Ovis aries: one gene and its partner. The protein of the gene in region 2 interacts with the protein of the main gene of each other region in a biochemical or structural test. Links are inferred from orthologs where the notes say so. Each region holds a gene or a part of one and is shown on either strand. Other genes may lie near its edges.

Evidence for each region. The genes of interacting proteins can lie anywhere in the genome.
Region 1: the proteins of MCM4 (region 2) and MCMBP form a complex in vitro, tested with the Homo sapiens proteins (2 studies listed by BioGRID). The link is inferred for Ovis aries from reciprocal best matches to the Homo sapiens genes MCM4 and MCMBP.

Annotation. Positions count from the first base shown.
Region 1 is NC_056075.1:39,480,724-39,486,852, forward strand, and holds part of MCMBP (mini-chromosome maintenance complex-binding protein), read right to left. Parts: intron 4,205-6,129; coding exon 4,119-4,204; intron 3,514-4,118; coding exon 3,373-3,513; intron 3,257-3,372; coding exon 3,215-3,256; intron 1,206-3,214; coding exon 1,104-1,205; intron 625-1,103; coding exon 480-624; intron 1-479. UniProt on the Homo sapiens protein: Associated component of the MCM complex that acts as a regulator of DNA replication.
Region 2 is NC_056062.1:32,580,089-32,586,217, forward strand, and holds the end of MCM4 (DNA replication licensing factor MCM4), read left to right. Parts: coding exon 1-71; intron 72-447; coding exon 448-568; intron 569-979; coding exon 980-1,239; intron 1,240-1,505; coding exon 1,506-1,871; intron 1,872-2,294; coding exon 2,295-2,422; intron 2,423-3,128; coding exon 3,129-3,336; intron 3,337-4,071; coding exon 4,072-4,300; intron 4,301-4,692; coding exon 4,693-4,826; intron 4,827-5,472; coding exon 5,473-5,565; 3' UTR 5,566-6,090; downstream 6,091-6,129. UniProt on the Homo sapiens protein: Acts as a component of the MCM2-7 complex (MCM complex) which is the replicative helicase essential for 'once per cell cycle' DNA replication initiation and elongation in eukaryotic cells.

The sequences.
Region 1 (6,129 bases), on a different chromosome or scaffold from region 2:
CGTGACAGCAGAGCAGCCTCCTCCAGGTGAGCCTAACCGCTCGGTTATGGAGCACAGACTGAGCCTCCTCCAGGTGAGCCTAACCGCTCGGTTACGGAGCACAGACTGAGCCTCCTCCAGGTGAGCCTAACCGCTCGGTTACGGAGCACAGACTGAGCCTCCTCCAGGTGAGCCTAACCGCTCGGTTACGGAGCACAGACTGAGCCTCCTCCAGGTGAGCCTAACCGCTCGGTTACGGAGCACAGACTGAGCCTCCTCCAGGTGAGCCTAACCGCTCAGTTACGGAGCACAGACTGACTGACCAGAGCGCAGCCGTCAAAACTCTCAGAACTGTGTGTAACTCTGCTAAACCTGAAAGCAAAGTGGCCAAATCACTGCCAGCTCCTAGATCTACAGCTACACGATAGAGCTATGAGTTCTAAACATGAATCCATGGCAGGAGGGCGGAAGTCTCCGGAAAGCGGGACGGCACACGCTACCTGCTTGTCTGGCAGTCACGTGCTGGTCTTTCTGTTTACTGGGCTGCAGATCCATATCTTCGTCATCTTCATAGCTTCTCTTGTGCCGGCTGGGGGTGTAAGACGTTGAAGGGCTGACTCGAGCTTGGTTGGCATTAACATAGGCGTTAAATGAAGGGTTAAAGAAAGATTTCCATGAAATGGGGAATATCCTAAAATTATGCTACCTCTATGACTAATAAAAGACTACTTCTATTTTGGTAGCTTACTACTACTTTCGTAGCTTGGTTAAAATAAAAATACTTTTTTAAAAGAAGACTGATGTATACAAAAAAATAAGCTACAAGGATATACTGCATAGCACCATAAATATAGGCAATATTTTATAATAAATATGAACGAAGTAAAATCTACCAAAATTTTTGAATCATTATGTTGTACCTGAAGTTAATACACTATTGTAAACCAACTACACCTCAATATATTAAAAAAAAAGAAACAAGAATTAAAAAATTATTTTTTCCAGCTAACTTCATTGAGGTAAAAAGACTAAGCTTGAAAAAAAAGAAAATGAATTGTTATCTCTTCAATTAAGAAAATTATCAGGAAGCATTCAACACATAACAAGGTTCAGATAAAGGATATTTCTTTTACCCACATAGATTCTCCAGGCACTGGAACACAGTAGAATGTCTGTCTCTCCAAAGTAGTAGTTCGTGGAGAGTTTAAATCAACTTCTTGCTGAGGCTGTGATGTTCACAAAATTTTATTTATTAAAAAAAATTAGCAACTGTGTTTTCAGATTGTTTATAAAAATCACAGTAAATACTTCATATGGAGTTAATTAACAAGCGACTAGTAAATCTAAACTATCATTTTTGAAACGAAAACTGACATAAAATCACTTCAAATGCAATCATCAATGCAGTGTGTACAGCTTGAGACGGTATGTATAAGCAAGGTGGGCAGCCTGAAATGGTATGTATAAGCAAGGTGGGTTTTGTTTCTTTCTTTCCTTCCAGGGCCAAAGTCCCCTTTTCCTGGTACGGTGCTCACTCTTACAACTCTTCAGCAACACAGCACAAACTCTTGCTCAGTGTGTCCAACTCTGCAACCCCATGGACTGTAGCCCACCAGGCTCCTCTCCCCATGGGAATTCTCCAGGCAAGAATACTGGAGTGGGCTGCCATGCCCTCCTCCAGAGGGTCTTCCCGACCTAAGGATCGAATGCAGGCCTCCTGCACTGCAGGCGGATTCTTTACTGTCTAAGCCACCAGGAAAGCCCAATTAATACTGCAGCTTCCCTCAAATCCAAAATACATAATACCCTAGGCTACAAAATTAAATCCCTAAAATAAACACAGTACTTTGTTAAACTTTTTTCAAAGACAACACTCATGGTAATCCCACTGTCTCTCTCACAGGAATGCTATCAACATTAGCCAATAGGAATTTAATGATACACTTCTTATGATGTTGCTCTGAGATGAGACTGAAAAAAGAAATTATTTCAAGACACTCATATTACTTTTATAGCATACAAAAAAATCCCTTACAAGTAAACAGAATCTATATTCTATCTTATAAGAGAAAAACAAAGAAAGAAAGAAAGCCAGAGACACCAATTGAGTCTGAGATGGTATGTGTAAGCAAAGCGGCTTTTCTTTCTTTCCTTCCAGGGCCAAAGACCCTTTTCCTGGTATGGTGTTCTTACTTATGACTCTTCAGAAACACAGCACAAACTCTTTGCCTTTGGGAGTATCACAGATGGACACCCTCATCCATTTTATTCTCCAATTTCCAGATGTTGAGATTACTGAGTTAGAGAGACACTGCATTACTGTGTACTAGAAGAAAAACTGTGTATTAATTTATCAGCTTAATGTAACTTAGGGCTCCATAAACAGGAATGCAGGATTATAAAGTTGACTCATTAGACTCAGCACAACAATGTATTACCCTGTCATGGAAATGCCCTTAAAAAAGACACTGGGAGACTTGGAGGTCATCAAAAGATTAAACGAATTCATCTTTCACGAGTCCATTACTCTAAGAAAGTATAGGAAGTTATATTTCATTCTCTATAGAAACCTTCCTAATTAGGGCCATTCTTCCACACAGATCAGCCTGCTGAGCTAGAATATTTATTCTAGGATTTTGCCTTCTTTCTTCTTCCCTTTCCCATTATTGATATGTAGGAGAGTTTCTATTACTTCCTTTTATCAAAGAAGGCTTAGGTTTACTTTTTTCTTCCCAGGAAGAGAGGGCAGGATTTAATCAAATTTAATGAAGCACATGTAGGGGGTTCCCTGGCAGTTCAGGGGTTAGGACTCCATGCTACCAGTGTAGGGAACTAAGATCCCAAATGCTGTGCCACGTGGCCAAAAGAAAGAAAAAAAGGTATAAAAAATTAAGCGCATGCAAAGCCCTGAAATAATATTCTTTCATTTTTCTTCTACTTTTAATTTTAAAAGAACTTAAGTAATTTTTAAAAGCAAGTGTATAGATATTAGGAAAAGAAAGGAATTAACTTTGTCATTTACAATATTCCACCTTCTAAGACATTTTTAGAAGATCAAAAAAAAATCATATCAGAGAAACTCAAGTAAAAGGCAAATAAACAAAACATTTCACATGACTTCTTAGAACTTATATACAAGATAAGTAAATTTATGATCAACCAAAGGAAAATAATATTACCTGCCCAGGAAAAAAAGCTCATTAAAAAGTTTTTAATATATTTTAAGTATACATACCCCACACTCTGCTACATCTCTATATTTTCCAAAATGAAGAACCTATGATCAAAACAATATATTAAGATATCAGAATCAAAACTGCCACAGACAACACAAGGTCAAAGCTAATCCTACTAATTGTAAACACTAAGTTTCATGAAAAAAGCAATACATACACGTGCTTTTGTGTTTCGGTTAACAGTTTCATAAACTCCCATGTAAAATTCAGGGTCAAACATATCCTGAACCATGCAACGAAACTTCACAAAACTGTTAGGTTTCAAATAATGAAGAGGAACTTCATTCAGTGATGGTACCTTAAAGGGAAACAAACAAGTCAAAATAGTCTCTGTTTTGCAGAGACAAGCACATACACATGTATATCCAGACAAACTGCCATTCCCCACCTACCCACCCCCAATACAAAATCAAGCCCTATCAAGGAGCCAAATGATTTCAACGGTCAACAACACAACTGCTGAACAAAAGTCCTTTCCGCATTCTTGCAAGTTCAGTTCGTATGATGACGTTTGATTATAATCTCAAAGGATGCTTTTCCTTCAGAACACTTTCCACTTAGCAGAAAGGCATTTGCTTTGTTGAGCTATTCTCTTAAACTCATACAAGTAATTCTTTAAAATGAAGGTAATAAAAGATCATCAAAGTTCTCACAATTGCCCTTTTTTTTTTTCCCACAGTCAGTTACTGCCACCTACAGGTGCCAGTACAGAAGCATTTATTTGCTTGAATTTAAATTGCAAGAGACCAAAATCTTTTAATACATATGCACTTAAGGCAGAGGGCGGTACACGTTAATTTATATATTTTTAAGTTATATGTGGATCACTACTGTGAGAAATTGGAAGTCTGCCCAACCCTTGCCCGCCCACCCACCCCCAGCAAACAGCAATAACAAGCTTACCCATTTAGGAGCATTATTCTCCTTCAGCTTTTCCTTAAAATAGTCTATTACTTTCTTCTCCCAGTCAGGATTAACCCCATTTTGAGCTGAAAGAAAAATATACTTTTCAAAGCTGAAGGTACATTAGTTTAGGGTGCCTTATTGGAAGCGCTGCACAAGACACCAGAAGCTGATATGACAGTTGGGGTGAGGCTGAGCCCCTGCGGGCTCTCAGGTGCTAACAGTTTCCCAAGAGCTCTTCCACAGTGAGAGATGAGGCCCCAGACAGAGCAGCACAGGAACCATCACCTGAAAAGCACTCTGCTGCTTGAAAACATTTTAATACAGATTTAAAACACTTTTACAATCACCCTGAAATGGAAAGCAGAGCATGTTCTTCTTCTACTGTTTTTAACTTTTTATTTGGGAATAATTTCAAACTTCCAAAAAGTCACAATAAAAATTACAAAGAACACCTGTACCCTTGCCCCCATTTACTTTATTATTCGCTTGCTCTCTCTCCCTCTCCCACATTTTTCTCACTTGAGCTTACATTACACACACATCATTTATTTTTACCTTTAAATAGTACTTGGGCTTCCCTGGTGGCTCAGCTGGTAAAGAATCCGCCTGCAATGCAGGAGACCTGGGTTTGATCCCTGAGTTGAGAAGATCCCCTGGAGAAGGGAAAGGCTACCCAACTCCAGTATTCTGGCCTGGAGAATTCCATGGACTGTATAGTCCAAGGGGCCGCAAAGAGTCGGACGCGACTGAGCGACTTTCACTTAAATAGTACAGTGTGTTTCCTAAGAATAAGGAGATTATCTTACATAACCACGGTACTTGCTATCAATCTCAGGAAATTCGAAATCAATACCAAACTCTTTTTACCAAGCCTACCACACATATTCCAGCTAGTCTCCCGACCCATCACTATTGTCTCCTGTATTTTTTCCACTTCAGTGCATATTCAGTTTAGGATCGCAGCCTGCTTTCTGCTATCAATTTTTTCTTTTCAATCTTTTTCTACTCCGGAACAGTTCCTCAATCTTTATCTTTTACGACACTGATAATGAAGAATACAAACCCATTATAAAAAAACAGCATGTTCCTCACTGGGTCTGTCTGATGTTTCTTTATGCGTGGACTGCGGTTACGCGTTACCAGTCAGAGTGCTACGTAAGCATGTGGTGTCCTGGAACGGTTGTATGCGCTTCATTGAGACAGGAGATGCTCATCTTCTCTCCACGCATGACGTTAATTTTCACCACCCAGTAAAAGTGACAGCCAAGTTCTCCACAGCAGTCACTTCCGCCCTCTCCCCTCTAGTAAGCAATCTACAGGAGATGCCTCAGGACCAAACAAGTAATTTTCATGAAACTTGCCCTGCTCCCAAGATTCAGCACACCTCTACCTCTTGCAACGATGATTGCAAAATAAGAAAAAGGTGTTTTTAATGTCATATTAAGGATAAGAAACCAGCTTTTGAAAAACTATGGGAACTGGCCAAGACTAAAAAGTGAATCATCAAAAAAAAAAAAAAAAAAAAACCAACCAGGAATATATATATACGCATGTTTTCATGAATTAGAACTACCTAACCAGACCTTTGCCAACAAAGGTCCGTCTAGTCAAGGCTATGGTTTTTCCAGTGGTCATGTATGGATGTGAGAATTTGACTGTGAAGAAAGCTGAGGGCCGAAGAATTGATGCTTTTGAACTGTGGTGTTGGAGAAGACTCTTGAAAGTCCCTTGGACTGCAAGGAGATCCAACTAGTCCATTCTAAAGGAGATCAGTCCTGGGTGTTCATTGGAAGGACTGATGCTAAAGCTGAAACTCCAATACTTTGGCCACCTCATGTGAAAGACCCTGATGCTGGGAGGGATTGGGGGCAGGAGGAGAAGGGGATGACAGAGGATGAGATGGCTGGATGGCATCACTGATGGACATGGGTTTGAGTAAACTCCAGGAGTTGGTGATGGACAGGGAGGCCTGGTGTGCTGCGATTCATGGGGTTGCAAAGAGTCGGAC
Region 2 (6,129 bases):
GCGAGCGCTGCCACACCAGCCACAGCATGGCCCTCATCCACAACCGCTCTGTGTTCTCCGACAAGCAGATGGTGCGTGCACCCTCCACAACCCCGTCCTTGTTCTGTCCCTGCTGGGTCCTCCAAAGCCCAGTGTAACCAGTCCACTCGTGCGGCCCTAAAACCGCGCTTCCTGAGTGGGTTGACCTGGAATGGAGTGCCGCCCAGAATGGATTAGAAAAGCAGGCAGAGGGTGATGCAGGCTCACCCACTGCCACCCTGATGTGGCCATCCCACCCCCATGTGGGGGAGTGTTTACTCAACAATGCTCTCGGAATGGAGGTGAGACTGAGTTGCTGGAGACTAGTGTGTTGTGGTGAGCATAGCCATCTTCCAGAGCAACGTCCCTGGGGCAGTGGAGGTGCCGGGTATCTGGATGTCCTGAGATGTCCATTCCCTGTCCTTCCAGATCAAGCTTCAGGAGTCCCCCGAAGACATGCCTGCGGGGCAGACGCCGCACACGGTCGTCCTCTTTGCTCACAATGACCTCGTGGACAAGGTCCAGCCTGGGGACAGAGTGCACATCACAGGTGAGGGGCTCCACCGTCAGGCCTCTGACCTGGTTGGGGGCAGATGACCTGGGGCTGCTGTTTTCAGTGCCAGCCTCTGACCTCCAATGTGGTGCCTTCCCAGACAGCAGGTTGTCTTGTTGTCCGAAATAACTAGTGAGCGACTTTAAATACGTGAGCCTTTTGGATTTCCTTTCTTTTTAGGCTTTTGGAACAGGATTTTAATATTTTTAGTCAAATTATTAATAACTGTACATTCCCTTAAAGAGAAATAAGAACTCTGTCTCACACTGAACACAGCAGCAGGCAGGCGCCGGGTGGAGGTGGGTTTCCCCAGTCAGCCTTTCGGCTGGGCTCAGAGCCCCCAGAGCCCTGTTCCCCCTGCTCTGGACTGAGAGCAGGCAGGTGAGAGGGTGTCCTTCGTGCCTTCAGGCATCTATCGAGCCGTCCCCATTCGCATCAACCCCAGAGTGAGCAATGTGAAGTCTGTCTACAAAACCCACATTGACGTCATTCACTACCGGAAGACTGACTCAAAGCGTCTGCATGGCCTTGACGAAGAAGCAGAGCAGAAACTTTTCTCTGAGAAACGTGTGGAGTTGCTCAAAGAGCTTTCCAGGAAGCCAGACATCTATGAGAGGCTTGCATCTGCCCTGGCGCCAAGCATCTATGAGCATGAAGACATAAAGAAGGTAACTGACCTCGAAAGGCTTCTTGCTTACGGCCAGGCCTGAAAGCTCAAGGTCAGATGGTGTGAACACCGGGAAAGGCTGAGCCTCGGGTGGAACAGGGGCCGCACCCTCATCTCCACCCCCGGCTCACCCGTTTCCAGGCAGGCCCTGTGTGGCTTCTGACCCGCTCTCGTCCTCTGATCTCTTCACCATCCATTTGCTCAGCCCCCTGCCTCTCCACCACCCACCTCAGGTGAGTGCTGAGACCTGTCTGTCCGTCTATCCAGGGAATCTTGCTTCAGCTCTTCGGCGGGACTAGAAAGGATTTCAGCCACACGGGGAGGGGCAAGTTCCGCGCGGAGATCAACATCCTGCTGTGCGGGGACCCAGGGACCAGCAAGTCCCAGCTGCTGCAGTACGTGCACAACCTGGTCCCGCGGGGCCAGTACACGTCCGGGAAGGGCTCCAGTGCCGTGGGCCTCACTGCCTACGTCATGAAGGACCCTGAGACACGGCAGCTGGTGTTGCAGACCGGCGCCCTGGTGCTGAGCGACAATGGCATCTGCTGCATCGACGAGTTCGACAAGATGAATGAAAGCACGCGCTCCGTGCTACACGAGGTCATGGAGCAGCAGACACTGTCCATCGCCAAGGTCAGCCACCCACCCGCTCTGATGTCTGCGTGGGGGTGGGGGATGGGGCCTGGACCACAGCGTCTGGACTTGCAGCTCGGGAGGCTGGCCAACACTCTGCTGTCAGGTCCCAGCCCATCTGAGTGTCCTCTACAGGACCTGGGTCCTCTGTGCGGTACTAACCTCTAATGCCTGGTGTTCACAGAACTTTTGTCCTAAATCTCATGCCAGGGATTTGGTTTTTGAGAAGATGTAGTCACAGCAAATGTTTACCCCCACCTCCATCCTTGGTGTGAAACTCAGCTTAGGCTTCCCCAGTGGATGCTGTAGGTACCGTGCTTGTGGTGCCAGGGGTTCCTGGCAAAGGCCACCCGAGGCAGGGGCTCTGAGCTCCTGCTGGCCTCAGCGTGAGGCTGCTGACCACGCTATCGGTCCCTCCCGCAGGCTGGGATCATCTGTCAGCTCAACGCCCGCACCTCCATCCTGGCAGCAGCAAACCCGATTGAGTCTCAGTGGAATCCGAAAAAAACCACCATTGAAAACATCCAGCTGCCCCACACACTCTTATCAAGGTATGATAGCACATGTTCATCAAACAAATGCTTTCATTTTCCTCATCTGTGGAAGGCTCAGGGTGAGGGTGAGAAGGAAATAACCAGAGTTAACACAGCCAGTCGCCGTCTCTTCATGCTGGTGTGGTCTGCATGTCTGCTTAGTCACGGGTCCTGAGGTGAGGACCACGCGCTTGCTCACCTTGACGGATGCTTGTTTCTTGGAGCGGTTGGGGCCTGTCTGCTCCATTCTGTCAGAAGCCCACCTCTTGCTGCTCTTGGTCCTATAGCCACTGTAGACAATCAGCAAAGTGCAGAGAGCAGCTTCCTGCAATAGACAAGGGTCTGAGAGCTGCCTTTGTGGGAGGGGAGATGTGACCCAGGCTTCCTCTCAAGGATGGATGTATTTCATAAATGGGTTTTAGAATTTGGTTCCTTCACTTCTTACACAAATAGTTCCTTTTCCCCAGCACAGCTCAATGTGTTTCACTCACCTCCTCCAGTCTTCAGAATCACAGCAGTGTTTCCCTCCAGAGCCTCCTGCTTCTGACTCACCTTCAGCGCCCAACACTTATTCCCAGGCAGACTGAGGGCTGGGGCAGGAGACCCGGGGGCCTGAGCTCCTCGGACCACCTGGGCCGGGCGCGCCTGCCACTCCCACGGAGGCCGCAGGTCCACATCAGGTGCGTGGGTGTCCTGACTGGGCACCATCACTGTGTCTCCTCAGGTTTGACTTGATCTTCCTCATGCTGGACCCCCAGGACGAGGCATACGACCGGCGCCTGGCTCACCACCTGGTGTCCCTGTACTACCAGAGTGAGGAGCAGGCACAGGAGGAGGGCATGGACATGGCGGTGCTCAGGGACTACATCGCCTACGCGCACAGCACCGTGACACCAAGGCTCAGCCAGGACGCCAGCCAGGCCCTCGTCGAGGTACCGCGGCCCGAAGTGCTGCTGGGCCCTGCTCAGCCCTGAAACAGTCTTTAGTCAAGAACAACACTGTCTTCTACAACTGTTTTCCTTCCTGTGTTGCAAAGCTGACTTTTCCACGTGTGGAAGAGGGAAAAGGATTATTTCTACAAGTTGTGTGCTCTTTTTAAAGTTCTTGTAAGCACAGTGTATTTAAGACCAGGATGCCTGAGTTGAAATATCGGTGAGGCTGTTAATACTTAGTGACTTTGTAATTCTGGTCTCTGAGCTGCATTTGCTCATTTCTAAAGAATTGAAGTATTTTATGTTCACTTCTCAGTACCTTTTAAGTGGGCAGCAGTGCCTGGTGACACGCATGGATGTTGTGACACTAGGAAGGTTCCTAGTGCTTTGGTGGGCTTTCCATCCTGACAGTTCTGAAGATGCTCAAGTGACAGTTAGAAGTGATTCGTAGTTTTCCCTCTGGGTCATCTTGAGAATCAGGTCATCCACACGAGTTCACAGTTTACCCTTTGTGTGCTCTGTGTCAGCGCCCCTTGGCCTGCTGCTATTTGGTCCTCCTAGGGTGTGAACAGGCCAAGTCCTCAGCTCCCTCCCCAGCGCCACAATCCCCCCACTGGTGCCACCTCTCCCCCAGATGAGGGTGGAGGCCTAAGGCTAGACCATGCTCTTGTTCCCCTCAGGACTTCCCTCCCTGCGGTCACCATGTGAGGAGTCAGCCTGTCTCCTGTCTTACAGGCCTACGTGGACATGAGGAAGGTTGGCAGTAGCCGAGGGATGGTGTCTGCGTACCCCCGGCAGCTGGAGTCACTGATCCGCTTGGCAGAAGCCCACGCGAAAGTGCGGTTTTCAAACAAGGTGGAGGCCATTGACGTGGAGGAGGCCAAGCGCCTGCACCGGGAGGCACTGAAGCAGTCGGCCACCGACCCGCGGACAGGCATCGTAGACATCTCCATCCTCACCACAGGTCAGCCTTCCCCCGACGTGGGTGCTGCCCTATCTCGAGTCAGAGCCCCCATGAACACGCGATGGGGCTGGGCGGAGGCAGACGCTGGCACACTCGGCCCAGCTCTGTCCCACCCAGCCGTCCAGGCACCGAGTGATTCAGGCCCCCACAAGGGGGACTCTGTGGACACAGACTCCTGTGTGGACTGCTGGGCTGTGTCTCAGTGGCCAGTAGCGGCTCTGAGCTTTTATAAAACTGGGGACAGGATTCAGACCTCACTCTGGCATTCAGCCACCATCCCCTTACCTTGTCTGGTGACAAGACTAAAGATTATTTTAGAAGAAATACTAGAGATTTGAAAGGTGTTCCCTTGATTATGGGAGAAACATCTTCATTGCTTTCTCTTAACTCAGGAATGAGTGCTACCTCTCGGAAGCGGAAAGAAGAGTTAGCGGAAGCATTGAGAAAGCTTATTTTATCAAAGGGCAAGACACCAACCCTGAAATACCAGCAGCTCTTTGAAGATATTCGGGGACAGTCTGACATAGTAAGTGTTTACATGGACATTTTGTTTGTTTAATAGTTTTCTTTTCCTTTGATGCTGCTTTAAAGTTTTTTTCCCTAGCTTTCCCCCTTCATTTACTGCTTGAGTAATAAATGTAGATACACATAAGAGAAGTACGGTCCCCATCCATAGTGAGTGATCACATTGAGAATTTTTTCAGTCTTCTGTGTGGATGTAGATGAGTAGTTTTGAGCAGAGTCAGTGGTTTCTTTTTTAATCAGTGACAGTCTTAGCTCTTTCTGTGACACTGAATCCACTGCGACATGTTTGCTCTGTCTCATGCCTTCCCCATCATGTACTCAACTGTCGGTGGACATTTAGTGTTTGCAGTTTTTGGCTGTTATTAGGAAAGCCAGGTTCACGGCAGGGGCTCTGCTGGTTGGGACCAGCCCTTGCCTGCTTTCCTGACACCCCCTTCTTGGCCCCACATGACCGCTGAGTGGTTCACACAGACCAGGGGCGCCAGGCCTGTGGTGCTTAGCATCAAGCCCTTTAGGGGAAGAGCTGGAGCATGAAATGTCTGTCCAGCCGCCCAGAAGGCAGGAGACTCCAGTGGTTTCTGAACTTGGGCTCCTTGTGTGTCTGGGGAGGGCAGCTCCAGATGTAAACTCTTTGCTCTTCCCTGAAGGCAATCACCAAGGACATGTTTGAAGAAGCGCTGCGCGCCCTGGCGGATGACGACTTCTTGACAGTAACTGGGAAGACTGTGCGTCTGCTCTGAAGGCCCAGGAGCAGCATGGTCCTGGCCCTGCCGCCAGCAGGAGGAGGGGCTTCAAGGTCATTGCTTGGCACCATGAGAATTTTCTCACGTGGCTTCACTGTTCCTAGGAAGCCCGTGTATTCATCTGTTGATACTGAGTGAAGCGTCCTAGGCCATCTGAGTGTGTGAGGCAGAGACTGAGTATCATGGAGCACCAGGGCTGAGTAGCGTGTCCCTACAGACAGCAGGACGCACTCTTCTCTGCAGACTGCGGTCTCAGTCCTGGTCTGTGCTGGACTCTGTCGGGTACTGGAGACGCGGGTGTTCCCATCCCTCCCTTTGAGGAGGTGACAGGCCCCGCTGAGTCCTCCAGGCTTGTTTACTTGCCTACAAGAGGCTGGTAACAATGGGGTTCTATGTTAACTTGTATTGCTTTGCTCTAATGTGTAAAATTTCTTCCTCAATAAGTGATAGAATAAGTAATACTTGGTTATCTGGCACTTTTCACTAAGAAAAAAGCTTTAATAAACACTGCTTTTACGGAAATTCATGATGTTAATTACTTCCTATAAGTCACTAATAAGT